Linked DNA regions of Drosophila melanogaster. The protein of the gene in region 1 purifies or fractionates together with the protein of each later gene. This does not show direct contact. Each region holds a gene or a part of one and is shown on either strand. Other genes may lie near its edges.

The links.
Region 2: the proteins of prd1 (region 1) and unc-104 purify together in Drosophila melanogaster (affinity purification with western blotting; one study listed by BioGRID). This does not show direct contact.

The regions. Positions count from the first base shown.
Region 1 is NT_033777.3:11,780,721-11,788,562, reverse strand, and holds prd1 (pruning defect 1), read left to right. Parts: upstream 1-1,548; 5' UTR 1,549-1,940; intron 1,941-2,134; 5' UTR 2,135-2,194; coding exon 2,195-3,080; intron 3,081-3,149; coding exon 3,150-4,028; intron 4,029-4,098; coding exon 4,099-4,937; intron 4,938-4,992; coding exon 4,993-5,145; intron 5,146-5,204; coding exon 5,205-5,608; intron 5,609-5,663; coding exon 5,664-5,877; intron 5,878-5,930; coding exon 5,931-6,131; intron 6,132-6,192; coding exon 6,193-6,561; intron 6,562-6,623; coding exon 6,624-6,743; 3' UTR 6,744-7,432; downstream 7,433-7,842. Other genes in the region: HisCl1 (Histamine-gated chloride channel subunit 1), read right to left, coding at 1-117, 232-541, 615-798, 869-981.
Region 2 is NT_033778.4:16,762,878-16,767,731, reverse strand, and holds the start of unc-104 (uncoordinated-104), read left to right. Parts: upstream 1-1,731; 5' UTR 1,732-1,899; exon of another isoform or gene 1,900-2,117; coding exon of another isoform or gene 2,118-2,342; exon of another isoform or gene 2,343-2,371; intron 2,372-3,357; 5' UTR 3,358-3,594; intron 3,595-4,391; 5' UTR 4,392-4,434; coding exon 4,435-4,534; intron 4,535-4,598; coding exon 4,599-4,681; intron 4,682-4,739; coding exon 4,740-4,854. Other genes in the region: CG5348 (uncharacterized protein), read right to left, coding at 17-91, 161-495, 553-863; CG42392 (uncharacterized protein), read left to right, coding at 2,118-2,342. UniProt on the Drosophila melanogaster protein: Required for presynaptic maturation, has a role in axonal transport of dense-core vesicles carrying synaptic vesicle precursors, components required for the morphological transformation of axonal growth cones to mature boutons.

The DNA.
Region 1 (7,842 bases):
TACAGTCGGTTGTGTAGTTATTTGATATGTCTAGCTGCGGCAACTCAATCTCCGTGTTAACCACAAGTGGGTCGGTCATGTTCCAAATGAAAACCAAATCTTCCACCGTATGGGATACTGCCAATCAAAACTCGGTTCAACACAGATTATTTGTAATTCGAGAAGCGGAATGGAAAGTTCCAAGCGATACGGGATTTGCAGGGTGTAGATAACCATTACATTTCCACCTACAACTCTCGATCATCATGGAGCAGATTTGCGTGTCATGCGGATAGGACTCAAACTTCATGGCGCACGACAGGACCAACGTGAGTTTGGACATATAGAGCAGCGTTTTGTCGTGGTACAGCCAGAGATAGTGATTGGGAATGCTCATCTCATGGAAGGTGACCTTTTTGGCGTTCTTAAAGAAGCAATCGGGCCGCCAAATGCTGTGCAACCAGTCGACATCCAATATGCGATACTGCTCACTCATGTTCTCAGGCAACCGCAGGCGAGGATCACGCCAGCTTTGTGCAAGGAAGATGTCCGTCACATAGGTCTAAAGGAGCATGATAAGCCAATTAGTGTTTGCTGAGTGATGAGTATTGAAAAGATGAACACATTCTACTGACCATAGACTCCTCGTTAATGGAGTCCAGGGAGAGGACCGTGACATGGAAGTAGACTACTGTGGGCTGGCCGAGGAGCTTGGGAGCCCGGTTCTTGTCGTACGTCTTTGAGGGAATGGGCAAAATGTCCGGGAGCGAAAGACTCGACTCGTAGTGGGAGACCAGCTCGGCGCTCTCCGTGTTATTTCTGCATATGTGGAACAGAACAGCCCTGTGGCGTAAATCTGATGAAACTGGGCAAACGCACTCGGACTCACCTGTAACCATGAACACAATGGCAGTGCTGGATCGATTGCTCCAGCGCGTGCAAATATATTGCCAACGCAATCAGGCACCTGAATTCTACCAATTTGCTAGTTGGGCTTTGCATTATGAACACACTACCTTCGGCTTTGATATTGTTCCTCTGGCACTCATTGCTCCGCAGTCCATGTCAATTCCCAAAGTAGCTCATCTCTGGGTGCGCTTGAGAATGAACTTGCTCGGAGGATTAGTAAGCGAGGAATTATATTTTACTCGTCGCGCAGCAAAAACCAATAAAGAAACGGCAGAGTTATCGCGACGATTGTGATGTGCTGCAAAGTGTGATAAATTGATTTCTAAGGTTTCATTCGCTTTCATTGGCATTCGCCCACACTACACTACTTTTCAAATTGACAACTGACCCCGGTTAGCGAAATGGCAAAGAGGAAATGATGTTCGCACCCACTGACAAGGGCATTAATTTAAATGTCCACTCTGTATTTGCGAATAATATCTGTGAAATATGAAAAACCGTTTGACTGCGCGAAACAAGCGAACTGGGCGCCAACTGTCGATGTCAAAAATGGGTTTATCGGCATGTTCCGGCATTTGCTTTCGAAGTACGTTTTCACAAACTGTTCTGGGTTTGCTCTTAACTTTAAATCCCAATTTTCTTGAAATGCAAATACGTGCTCTACAATATTTTAAATAAAAGCCGAATACAAACTTGTCTTAAAATTGAATTAACTCTTCAGGAACATTTTACATAATGTGTTAAATAATTGTTGAATTTTAAAATTTACAAAAATATTATTTGAAAACCGGAACTTCCCGTTGCTGTAACAGGCCGCGTTGCCAACCTCTTCTCTTATCTGGCAGCTCTGGCGCGCAATCAGCTGTTCGCGGAACTGGCAACTCTATGAGGTCAAAATATTGATTGTTTCACTTGCCAAGACGTTTTTTTTTGGCAATTCTAAAATGTACAAGTGGCGATAAATCTGCACATAAAACTCTTAAAGCAAGCGTAAAAGGAAACGTAAACCACCCAGATCGACAGTAACATGGAATCCTGCGATACAATCGCAGGTGAGTGACAGAAGCAGCGGTGTGTGAATTTAATCCCGGTGCGATTTTCAAGGGGGTGCTGGGTCAGGGGTCATTTTCCTTTGTGCACTGGCGCGATTTGCTGCGGCGCATTGTGCAACTTGTGGATATTGATTAATAGCAAGAACGCCGAGATACACAAATAATGGTTTACCGACTTTTACAATTTTCCGTAGGTTAATAGACGAAAATCACTGCGTAGATAACTCTTGACAAGTGCGAAAATCGAAACGACCATGGAATCACCTCTGTTGCCCAAGGCCAACAACAATTTGGGCATGGACAAGATGAGCTCCAGCTTGAACAGCAGCACCATGGAGGACACCACGCCCAGCGATTCGGGAGTACAACTCCTGGACTCGGAAAACAGCGATGTGATGGTGGAGTCCATTTGCTCCTACGAGGAAAACGTTAGACCGATGCCCCTCCCTTTGGTGGATCCCAACTCCAATGTGACTGCAGCGCCGGATGAGTCTATGACCATTAGCGAGTGCTCTACGTTCGACACCACGGAGAAGATTGTATACCGTCGCAAAGTGCACAAAGCTTCGTCCGCCTCCAAAACTCCCAAAAAGCGAGTGTCCTTCCACGAGGACATACTGAAGAACACTCGTACCGACAACATTCACATTGAGCATGGCTTTATCACCTACAAGAACGGACGCAAGTTGGCCTTCGCTAACTCAGCGGGCGTGGCCGGCGCTCCAGGACGATATTCCTGGTGTCCGGATCGGGAACGTCCGGAGGGACCTAATGAACTCAGTGCCGCTGGCAGGGAAGACGATGGCGAGGAGGCTACCGGTGGCGGAGGTGCCAGGCGAAAGAGACATCTGGTCTACCGAAATGCCTGCTCGGATGTGCTGGACTACGACAACATTTTTGACACGGACGAGGCGCCCGGTCTGCACTATGACACCTCAGGTGTCTTTGAGTACGGCCCTGCGACCCAAAAACAGGAAGAGCAACCCCAACTTTACAAGTGCGTGTGCAGCAGTTCCAACTCCAGTTTGGATTCCGACGAACAAGACAAAAATTCCAATGCGAATTGTAAGCAGTACGAGCAGGCTAAGAGCAGCTCATGTGATTGCATTGGTATGAGCAATGCTAACAACAATCTAATCGGTAAGCTATATAACATTCTGCTTAAATCCTTGTGATGTATATCCACATTAATCTTTATCCCACAATTAGGTGACAATTGCTACTATTCAGAGCCCAATATCGGAGATGCTGACAGTCCCAAAGTCAAGTCCGTATGGAATAAGGAGAAGAAGCCGAAATCAAGCTGCTTAAAGAAAACTAAGCTACATACAAATGTCATACTCGAGCAGGATCTCAATGGGCGGGTAAAAAAGTTTAACGTGCACGACATTAAGCACCAACTGCTCGACAACAGTAGCAAGATGATATTTGGATCGCTAAAGAGCATCTTTACCATGCCATTGCCGGAGCGCGGAGTTCCCGAGGGCTCCGAAGACCTGCAGGCGGTGGTGGAATGCGTCCCTGAGCTGGAACAGACACCAGAGCACAAATCGCGGCCGGCGGCCGAGTCACCGCCTCTTAGAGCTAAGCCATTCCTCAGCAAGAGTCTCGACGGCAGCAAGCAGGCACAACCAGTTAAGAAATTCGTGCACAACGTTGATGAGCAATTGCGGCATAAGAACGAAGACGATGGTGCCAGCTCCACGGAAGCCTCGCCGATGGAGTCAAAACAGTCACTGATGTTGCATCGCCAAGAGGAATTCGATAAGGAAACAGTGCCAATGGGCAGCGCACAGGGCGAGTTCCGCAGCAAGTTTATAATTAATTGTGAGAGCACTGTTTTCGAACACACCGGAGTATCCTACGAGACGGGGGATCTGCAATCCGAACTCTCATCCGGTATTCAGCACACCAGTGTAGCCAGTCTGCTCGAGCAAAACACTCCCATCGCAGAGCCGGCCGCTAGTCAAATTAAGAAATCATTTTTGGATGCTCCCATTGCCAAGACGTTTAGTAATTTCTTTCGAAGCTTCAAAGACAGCACACCAGTTGCAAAGGACGAGCAAGCAGTCACAGATAACTATTTTGGTGAGCAAATAATATTCATTTGAATTAATATTTTCCCCGATGACTAACACTGTTCATTATGCTTATATAGCTTCAAAAATCGCTAAGCCGCAGCAACAAGCACCAGCCGCGGGCAAACTTCAGCGCAACTTTTCCTCATCAACCATATCCGAACCTAGTTCGAACACCAACACCAGCAGCAACCATCAAATCGCAATGAATCCGCAGCTGGGCAACGCGGAGCGTCAGTCTCGACACCTTCCTTCACCGCTCAAGAAGCGTGGACAACCCTTACAGCCGCCCCGTTACTACGACCAACAGCATCCTCACCAAAGTCGGAGCCTCCACAGCCCCAGTGCCTACCTAGCCGCTGGACGCGGAGGACCAGGAGGTAGTGGTCGCGACTCAAAGAGCACTATTCTCAGCGAAGAGTTTGACGACATACTAACTATAACCACTACAGATACAACTAATGCGCGCTCAATGGACAGCGATTTGGTCATCGTAGACTACACAGATGTGGACTATGCTCACTTACTGAAGCCGCCAGCTCCGGCGGCCAAAACTTCACTTATAAATAGGTTCCTTCGTAATGTCACACAGAAGAAAATAATGGAAACCTCCATACGCAAGAACAATTTCTTTGCCGATAAATTGAGAACCGAACAGAGGCATGCCGGATCCGATCTGTATGTGAAGGGTGCTCGGCCAAAGAACTACGAGCTTATAGATGACTTAAATGCAGAGATTGCCATGGAGATTGAGATGTGTGGCACGAATTCGCCGCGACGGGAACTTGCCATTAGTTTGGATAACGATTTCCAAGGCAACTTGTCCAATTTCGAACTTGGCATTGGGGAGATCTCAATTGATGTATTCAAAGGAAAGTCCTTGTTCAATCTGAAACAATCAAATGAGCAGCTAATGAAGGTAGATTGTAATTGTGTAGCAAATAGCAATCAATTATAAAAACTTATCATTTCAGGCTTTCAAACTGTATACAGGCTACAATGTAGATGGCATCATGACACCTGTACTTGTCCTACTCACTGATAAAACTCTGTATGTGGTGAATATGGAAGGAAATAGTCTGTGTGTCAAGTTTGTTTTGGCCTACAAGGACTTGGATGTCATACTGGTAAATGTTAACGGATGACATTGCTGTGATATATTAGTTAATGCAACATCATTTTTTAGATGGGACCTTTTGGCAACACAGTTTTGCTCAGCAACAGTAATCGAGACATGCAGCAGGTCCTGCTCGCGGGTGGTCCGTATCCAGCCGGATCCCTGGTAGCCAACCTGGAGTTGTGTGCCCGACGCAGTGGATCCACTCTGCCTGCAGTTGGTCAGCTGACTCTAGAACATTTGGCTCCACTGCAGGCTTTTGTGCGTGCCAACAGCTGTGTTGGCGTAGCAGAACATTGGATGCTCTATGCAGTGGTTAATGTGCCAGCTGGAGGGTCAATGAGAGTCGAATCGCCAAGCGAACTGCTGGGACCTTCAATGAAGGGATTCCTCATGCATCGAAGACTTAGGCAGACGATCAGCACTTCAGCAGCGAACAGAATATTTTGGCAACCAGGATACTTTTTACTGAAGTTCGTAACTCTCGATATTTGAAGGAATTCAATTTAATATGTGTTCATTTCTTAGAGCTGGCGTATTGTATATGTTCAACGATTCCACCCAAAGGCTTCCCAGCTGGGCCATGGCCCTCGCCGAGTGTCAGGGCGCCCGGCGAACTGTGAAATCAGAGCGCCCCCACTGCTTCGAGATTACGCTAAAGGGCGAAGTCCTGCAAATGGCTGCGCCCGACGAGTATGTAGCCTCCGAGTGGCTCCAGGCTCTTTTGCAATCAGCCAGTGGCGTAAGTAGACAATTAATATTAGAAGATTTGTTTTAACTTTTTGTTGTGTTTAGCTTGTGGTTCAAGAGGAGAAGCACAAAACCCTTGGATGCACGTTGATCGTCACGGATAACCATTTAATAACCCTGCGTGAAGACTTTTCGGCTCCTCTACGAAAAATAAGCCAGCAGGCGGATAACAATGCAGCCGTTCAGGGAAATAAAGAAACCATGCTTGAGGAGGATATGCTCAGTGTTTTTGAAACCAGTAGCTTAGTAAGTGCGCTTATTGTATTAGCAAATCAAACTTCGTAATCATTTGGACTTAAAATTTTAGATGGGTTCCACCATTAGTACTCCTACCCGTGGCACTCAACATTCATATTCCTCGTTAAGCTCTACGCCTACTAAGCAAACAAACGAAGATGCAGCTCCGAAAGAAACTGTAGCTTCGCCGGAAAAATCACAAAGAATGACCAGTGTTTACGGAAAGAACTCCGGTTTAGCCATACTAACTTGTGCGGACATCAAAGAGATGACTGGCATTAAGATAACCTCGCGGAGCGAGACTTGGTGGTGCATTCTGGAGTTCTCCTGCCAGGAGGCACCATTGGAAAACCAGGACGATTTGGTTATATTCTTTGCCAGCAGCATGGAAATGCAACGTTTCCTGCGGTTGCTAGAGCAGCTTTGGCAGTCTAAGAATGTATGTTTCTCGTTGACTACTAAACCTTTCCTTAGCAATAACGAAATATTCTAATTTTACAGAACGATCTATTTCCAATAACCATACTAGACGACGGTGACTCTCTGGCCGAGCAATATAATAAACTTTATATGGACACAAATAGGGCCTGGGAGCCTTTGCTATCAGCTGCGCTGGGTTAACGTGGCTCTGGCCATATATACTCCATTTACAAATAGAAAATTATATTTCCATATACATTACTCAAGCGTTAAATATTCTATCCTGAATACTCAAATAGCTAAAGAACAAAAAGTATTGATATTTATATAGTCTGTATGTATTATGTATTATGATTTTGTAATGCGTGCCTCCGCTTGACTCATTCATTCGTTTGCGCTTAGTAACATCTCATTTGAATAATTTTTGTGATATTAAACTTAAAGTCGCTGATCTTTGGTATGCTCTTTTGTAGGATATTTAGTTTCTATTGATTTTCTACATTCGTTATTTCTTACCTTTTATAAATACATTGTGTACAAATATTGCACAGATAATAAGAAACAAAATATTATACATAATCTAACTTATACGAATATTGGACATGTAATCAATCGGTAATGTTATGTTTTGGGGGTGCTCTTTTGGTCCAAGGATCATATCCATATGATATACGACAAACAATATGTGGCTATTTATAAAATAAACAAAACAAACATTTATAAATGTGTATTAGGAAAAGTGTGCATGGTGGACTTAATCTTATTTTGCAATGCTGTGCCTCTCCTTTTCAATTAGCATAGATTAAATTCCCCTCCCAACGCCCGACATTTCGCTGTAAGCCTTTCAGCCCACTAAAAGCTCATGATAATTAATAAAACCAATAAACGCCATTACAAAACGAATTTTTATTTATTCTGAGCTCGCTGATGGTCCTTGACATTTTCAATAATTGCAAGTGGTGAAAGGGTTTACAGAGGAAAGGGTTTTCTGGGCTCTAAGTCGGGTTTATGCTGTGTGGGACCCTATATTCCGAATGAGTGTGGGGGAGATGGAGTGGGGGTCTGGAGAGGATGCTGAATAAGGAAACAAGTTACATACAAATAACCTAACATCAACATACATTGTGTACATGTGCACAACTATGTACATACATATGTATATGTACATCGGTATATCGAAGTATCTGCAGGTACATTCTGTACCCATGAGTGTGAGAGTATCAAAATATTTGATAGTGCCGGTGATCGAGTTTTCTAACTATTATTCGATACTCAGAATATTTGTATCTTCCGTCGATCG
Region 2 (4,854 bases), on another chromosome or scaffold:
ATATATAATTACTCACAGGCTATGGTCTTTTGCAATAAGTACACATCTGCCACGTTGATAATGATGTAGCTAATGTAAACCAAGAGTACAACTAAATTTTAAGTCAGTGCCATTACATTTTTGCGAAAAAGAGAAAATCGACTTGGGCTATTATGCTTACTGAAAAATTTAAATTCATAGCCCAATGCGAAATGGTTTGTCGTGTATGCAAAGTAATCCATCAATAAAGTCGCTAAGAGAAGAAATAAAATGTCCCGGACAGTTTCGTAGGAATTCATCTTGAAGGGCGAAATGTAGAATATTAGGCCACCGGAAATCGTAATCACAAACAGGGCTGACGACAAGTTATTGGCAAACACAGGGACATGTCGTTCAACGCTGGCCAAGTTGGCGAAAAAATCGGCAGAAGTGTTTCCAAATGCCATCAGGGTAACTCCCGCCAAATGCTCGTTCATATGAAGGAATCGGGATACGGCCTTCAGAGCAGGACTATAGCTGCAAAAGCAAGCATTTCAAGCTCAATTTTAATCTTCGCTTTAGTTAGCTACTTACTAAACATTGATTGTGTAAATTAGTAGAACCAATATCTGAAAGCAAAACGCCACGAACAAGGCGATGAAGATCATTTCCTGGAACTGATTGATACACTTCAGATCGCAGGCCAAGAGTCTCATGTATGGAATTACATTTGTGCTCGAATTGCAGTCCTCCGCTTTCTGTACGAACTCACATCGCTCCTCGAACGGAAAGTTGTTGGCCGCAAAACAGCTAACCGTTTTCCAAAAATTGTCGAATTCCGCATCCAACGCGTTTTTCACGGTAAAAACATCGGATTTGGTTGTTTTTGTGTCGATGGCCGGCATTTTAGTTTTACTTGTTTGTAGTCCGAAATCTTGGCGTTGAATTGGGTAAAAGTGAAACTAGTTCTGGGATTACTTTGATTTCCTAAGAGCTATCAGAAAAAACTAATTCAACAATTAATTCCGGCTACAATCGCTGTTTTCGATGATAATACTTGTATTTTTTTTTTTGCACTTTAAACCACTTGTTAAGCTTGTAAACTTCATAATTAAAAAAAAGTTAAATGTAATGATGAAAGATTCCCCACAGATGAGGACGTCCAGCTTCCAGCACATTCTTTTACCAAGCCCCATTCTTTAACATTTCCCTACCAAAGCCAAAACCTCCAACTTTTTACTGCCCTCCCAGCCTCGCCGTCAGATTTCAATGTCAATGTAATTACGCCGTAGAATATATACATAGTATACAAATACCTACTACCGATTACCGACTACCGCGTAACATAAAAAGCCAAAGCTTGTCCTGCGTCTCGGTGCGATGGGAAATCAATAAAAAGAATTCACTTTACGTCATCAGCTGGTGGATAAAGCCGTCGCTATAGCCACTGTGCCGGCAGCGATATGTGAAATGGCTCATAATAAGATCAAACATCGGGGAAAATTGGGGGTCTGCCACAGTGGCCGTCCGAAAAAGTGGACACCTTGCGCTAATAATGAAATTCCTTGTGCCCGCGGATGACAGACGGTCGTTTTGTTATTGCGGACCTTTTACGCTATGTGTATGAAATTTATAAAAAAAAAAATTTTCGCATACCCATATATACCATACAGCCCACACGGTTGCTGTTCTTCCAGTTTTGTACCCCGATTGCGGCGCATGCGTCCTGCTGGTGGGCTGGTCGTCGTATCCTCTGAACTTTCCCAGAACTGCTCACTGTGTCGTCTACCCTTAACGGGTGCAGTTCGTTCTGGTCTCGAGAGTCGTGCGCGAATTTCATTTCCTAAGGCCTTCCGCTGACTGGCCATCGATTTTGTGCAGAAAAGCTCAGAGTTTTCATCAGCGAAAAGTTGCCCAACCGTTTAAACAAAGCGCAGCCAAGTAAAGCAACTAACAAGTTTCAAATTAAAACAATTCGATACAGTGGCAAACTAAAACTTTATCAATTATTTGTCCCCCAAAAAAAGGAGTGAAAATTTTTCGCTGTTATACAGAAAGACAGACCCCTACACATATATACACATATACGAGAGCCTACATATATATATAATATATATTCAAAAATCCTTTAGCCAAGTCAAGAAGAAGAAACTACGCGAATGTGCGCTTTTGGTTACCTATTGTTTTTCGCCCTATTGTTAACAACAATTCTGGTGCTGTCCATTATATTCGCCACTACCTCCAAGCGATCCATGTTGGATAGCTTTGTACTAGTATTCAATTACACACAAGAACACCAGCCAGACCAAGAAATGCAGCAACAACAACAACCAACGGACTATCAGCAACAACCACAAATGTTCCTAAAACAGAAAATATTTTGAGTTCCATGGGTTAATGAGTATAATGCCCCGAAAAATAATAAAACGAAACAGAAAATCAATTGGTAAATGCTTCAAAATATATTTGCAAAATTTCATCAATTCGCTCGACCGAACATTTCAAAATTCTCGATAAAACATAGCCCATAATTACGTTTTACATAATTTTGATTCGCTAATTTTTGCCCCCCCCCATCATCTAGTGTACAGTGGCCTCCAGAGTAGTGTGCATAGTGTGTGTAGAGTGTAGAGATTTCCTGGCTCGGTGTCCATGGCAAAGGCAACTTGAAAATTTATTAATAAAGGTCAAGAAGAACGCAAGCGAACGCAAGGATATTACCCACGAATGAGACGGGGCGCGCATATGAGTGTGGTGAGAGGTCCTGCATACGGTATTAAGTGCCCGCCGTGTTGCCCCGCAGGAAGCCATAAAAAATATGACGCAGAAGGCAACAAAAGCGTGGTATTGCAAAGGACCTCGAGTGCTTAGTTCGTTTCTCAAGTGCAAATGAGGGTTGACTGTGTGACGAATAAATTTTCAAGAGCCTGGCCAGGTAAAACGAGCTAAGGACGTTGAGAAGTGGACATTCTCGAAAAGGATATAGCCTGATTTTAATTTCTTATAGTCGTTCTTTTATCGTTTCGTGCGCCTTCAACCAGCGTCAGTCTGCATATCATACAAAAAATAAATAAAATACATTACACAAATATTTAGCATATCCTATCCCACTTTCGCTCCCACACTCTCTATATATACTCTCGCCTTTCTCTGTCTTCTCTCCACATTTCTCCTGTCTCGCGCTTCTGCGCAAATCTTCCTGTGGAGACTTTTTACTGCAGGCTGTTGCACATTTGCTTTGACAGTTTGTTCGGAAAATTGAAAGAACAAAAAAAAAACATAAACAAAAGTATTTTGGTCAGGTAAACAAAGAGAGAGAGAGAAAGGACAGGAAAGAGAGAGCAATTCTCACAGCTGCGCATTGGAATGGCTTCTAAACTTGGTTTCACAATATTTCAGGACGCTAGTGTACGCGAGTGAAAGAATTTCTCAGTTGGTCAAGTGAATTTACCACTAGAAAGTTAATAAATAAAGCAAAGAGTGACAAACGAAAAAAAAAACAAATTTTACCTTATCAAACATTAACTAAAAATCAAATCACACATAAGTGCAATCGATTCCTTACAACTTATGCTATAATGAGCTTTAAGGATATAGCCGCCCAATAAGCCAGCAATCGTTTGGCCTAAACTAAAGGTAATTTAATCTCCATAAATGGTAGTTATTTGTTTTAACAAAGTTAAGAAATATATTGAAAATACGCGTTATGCATCGCCTTTAAAGGGTCCTTTCTTTCTTTTGTGGGGTGTGAGTACTTTTCTTTATTCTGCCTCTTGTATTTGCTCGATGACTCATTCGACTATTGGCCGACACTCGTCTGCGCTTTTATTGGAAGCATTTGTGGATTGTGGAATTTTTCCCCCTGCTTCAAGTGTGTGAGTGTGTGTGCGTGTGTGTGAGTCAGAGGGTAAAAACTAGAGGGAAAACTATTTGCATTAAAATCCATTACGATAAGTGATAAAACTACTGAAAAACAAACCTAAAATCTAACAAAATTATAAAGAATTTTTAACTTTCTTTAACTGTATCACTTCTTATTAAAAAAAAAGAGGAGAAAGAGAACTCACCTAGAATGTTTCGAAAGCAATAAATCTTCAATCCTTAACGTCTATTGTTTTATAAGAAATTTGTATTATAAAATAGTTGGCAATGTACCCGGCTTAGTCTTCGACGTATTGCACATATAGGACAGCAAATAATAAATTCTTAGCCCCACCCCTGGCTTCAATTCAAATTTCCCTGGCGAGTTGCCGGGGGTATGACTCATAGCTTCGAGCTGCCACAGAAACAAATCGTGGACGAGTGTATAACCATAAAGTTGGGGCAATTATAAAATGTCAGTGCTGGGCAGTGGTAGTCTCTGGCCAATTTGCAGCCCACTCGAATGACTCGAATGTCTATAAAGTATTCCCGTTCCTCTATTTCCACTCCAGTTAACCGGAAACCAGGACACCCACAGAGAGGAAGAAGGACAAGATGTCGTCGGTTAAGGTGGCGGTGCGAGTGCGCCCCTTCAACTCGCGCGAAATAGCCAGGGAGTCGAAATGCATCATCGAGATGGCAGGAGCCACAACGGGTGAGAATCCCATAAACACTCTAGATTTCTCTTAATTAAATACTTCAATCTTATGTCCTGACAGCCATCACCAATCCAAAGGTGCCGCCCAACACAAGCGATTCAGTAAAGCGCTTCAACTTTGATTACTCCTACTGGTCACATGATGTAAGTTTTATTTCGAGTCCAAGAAAAAATTTTACTTAAATTTATATTCGCATCACAGCACCACGATGCCGATTTCTCCACACAATCGATGGTGTACAAGGACATTGGCGAGGAGATGTTACAGCACTCCTTCGATGGCTACAATGTCTGTATCTTTGCCTATGGCCAGACTG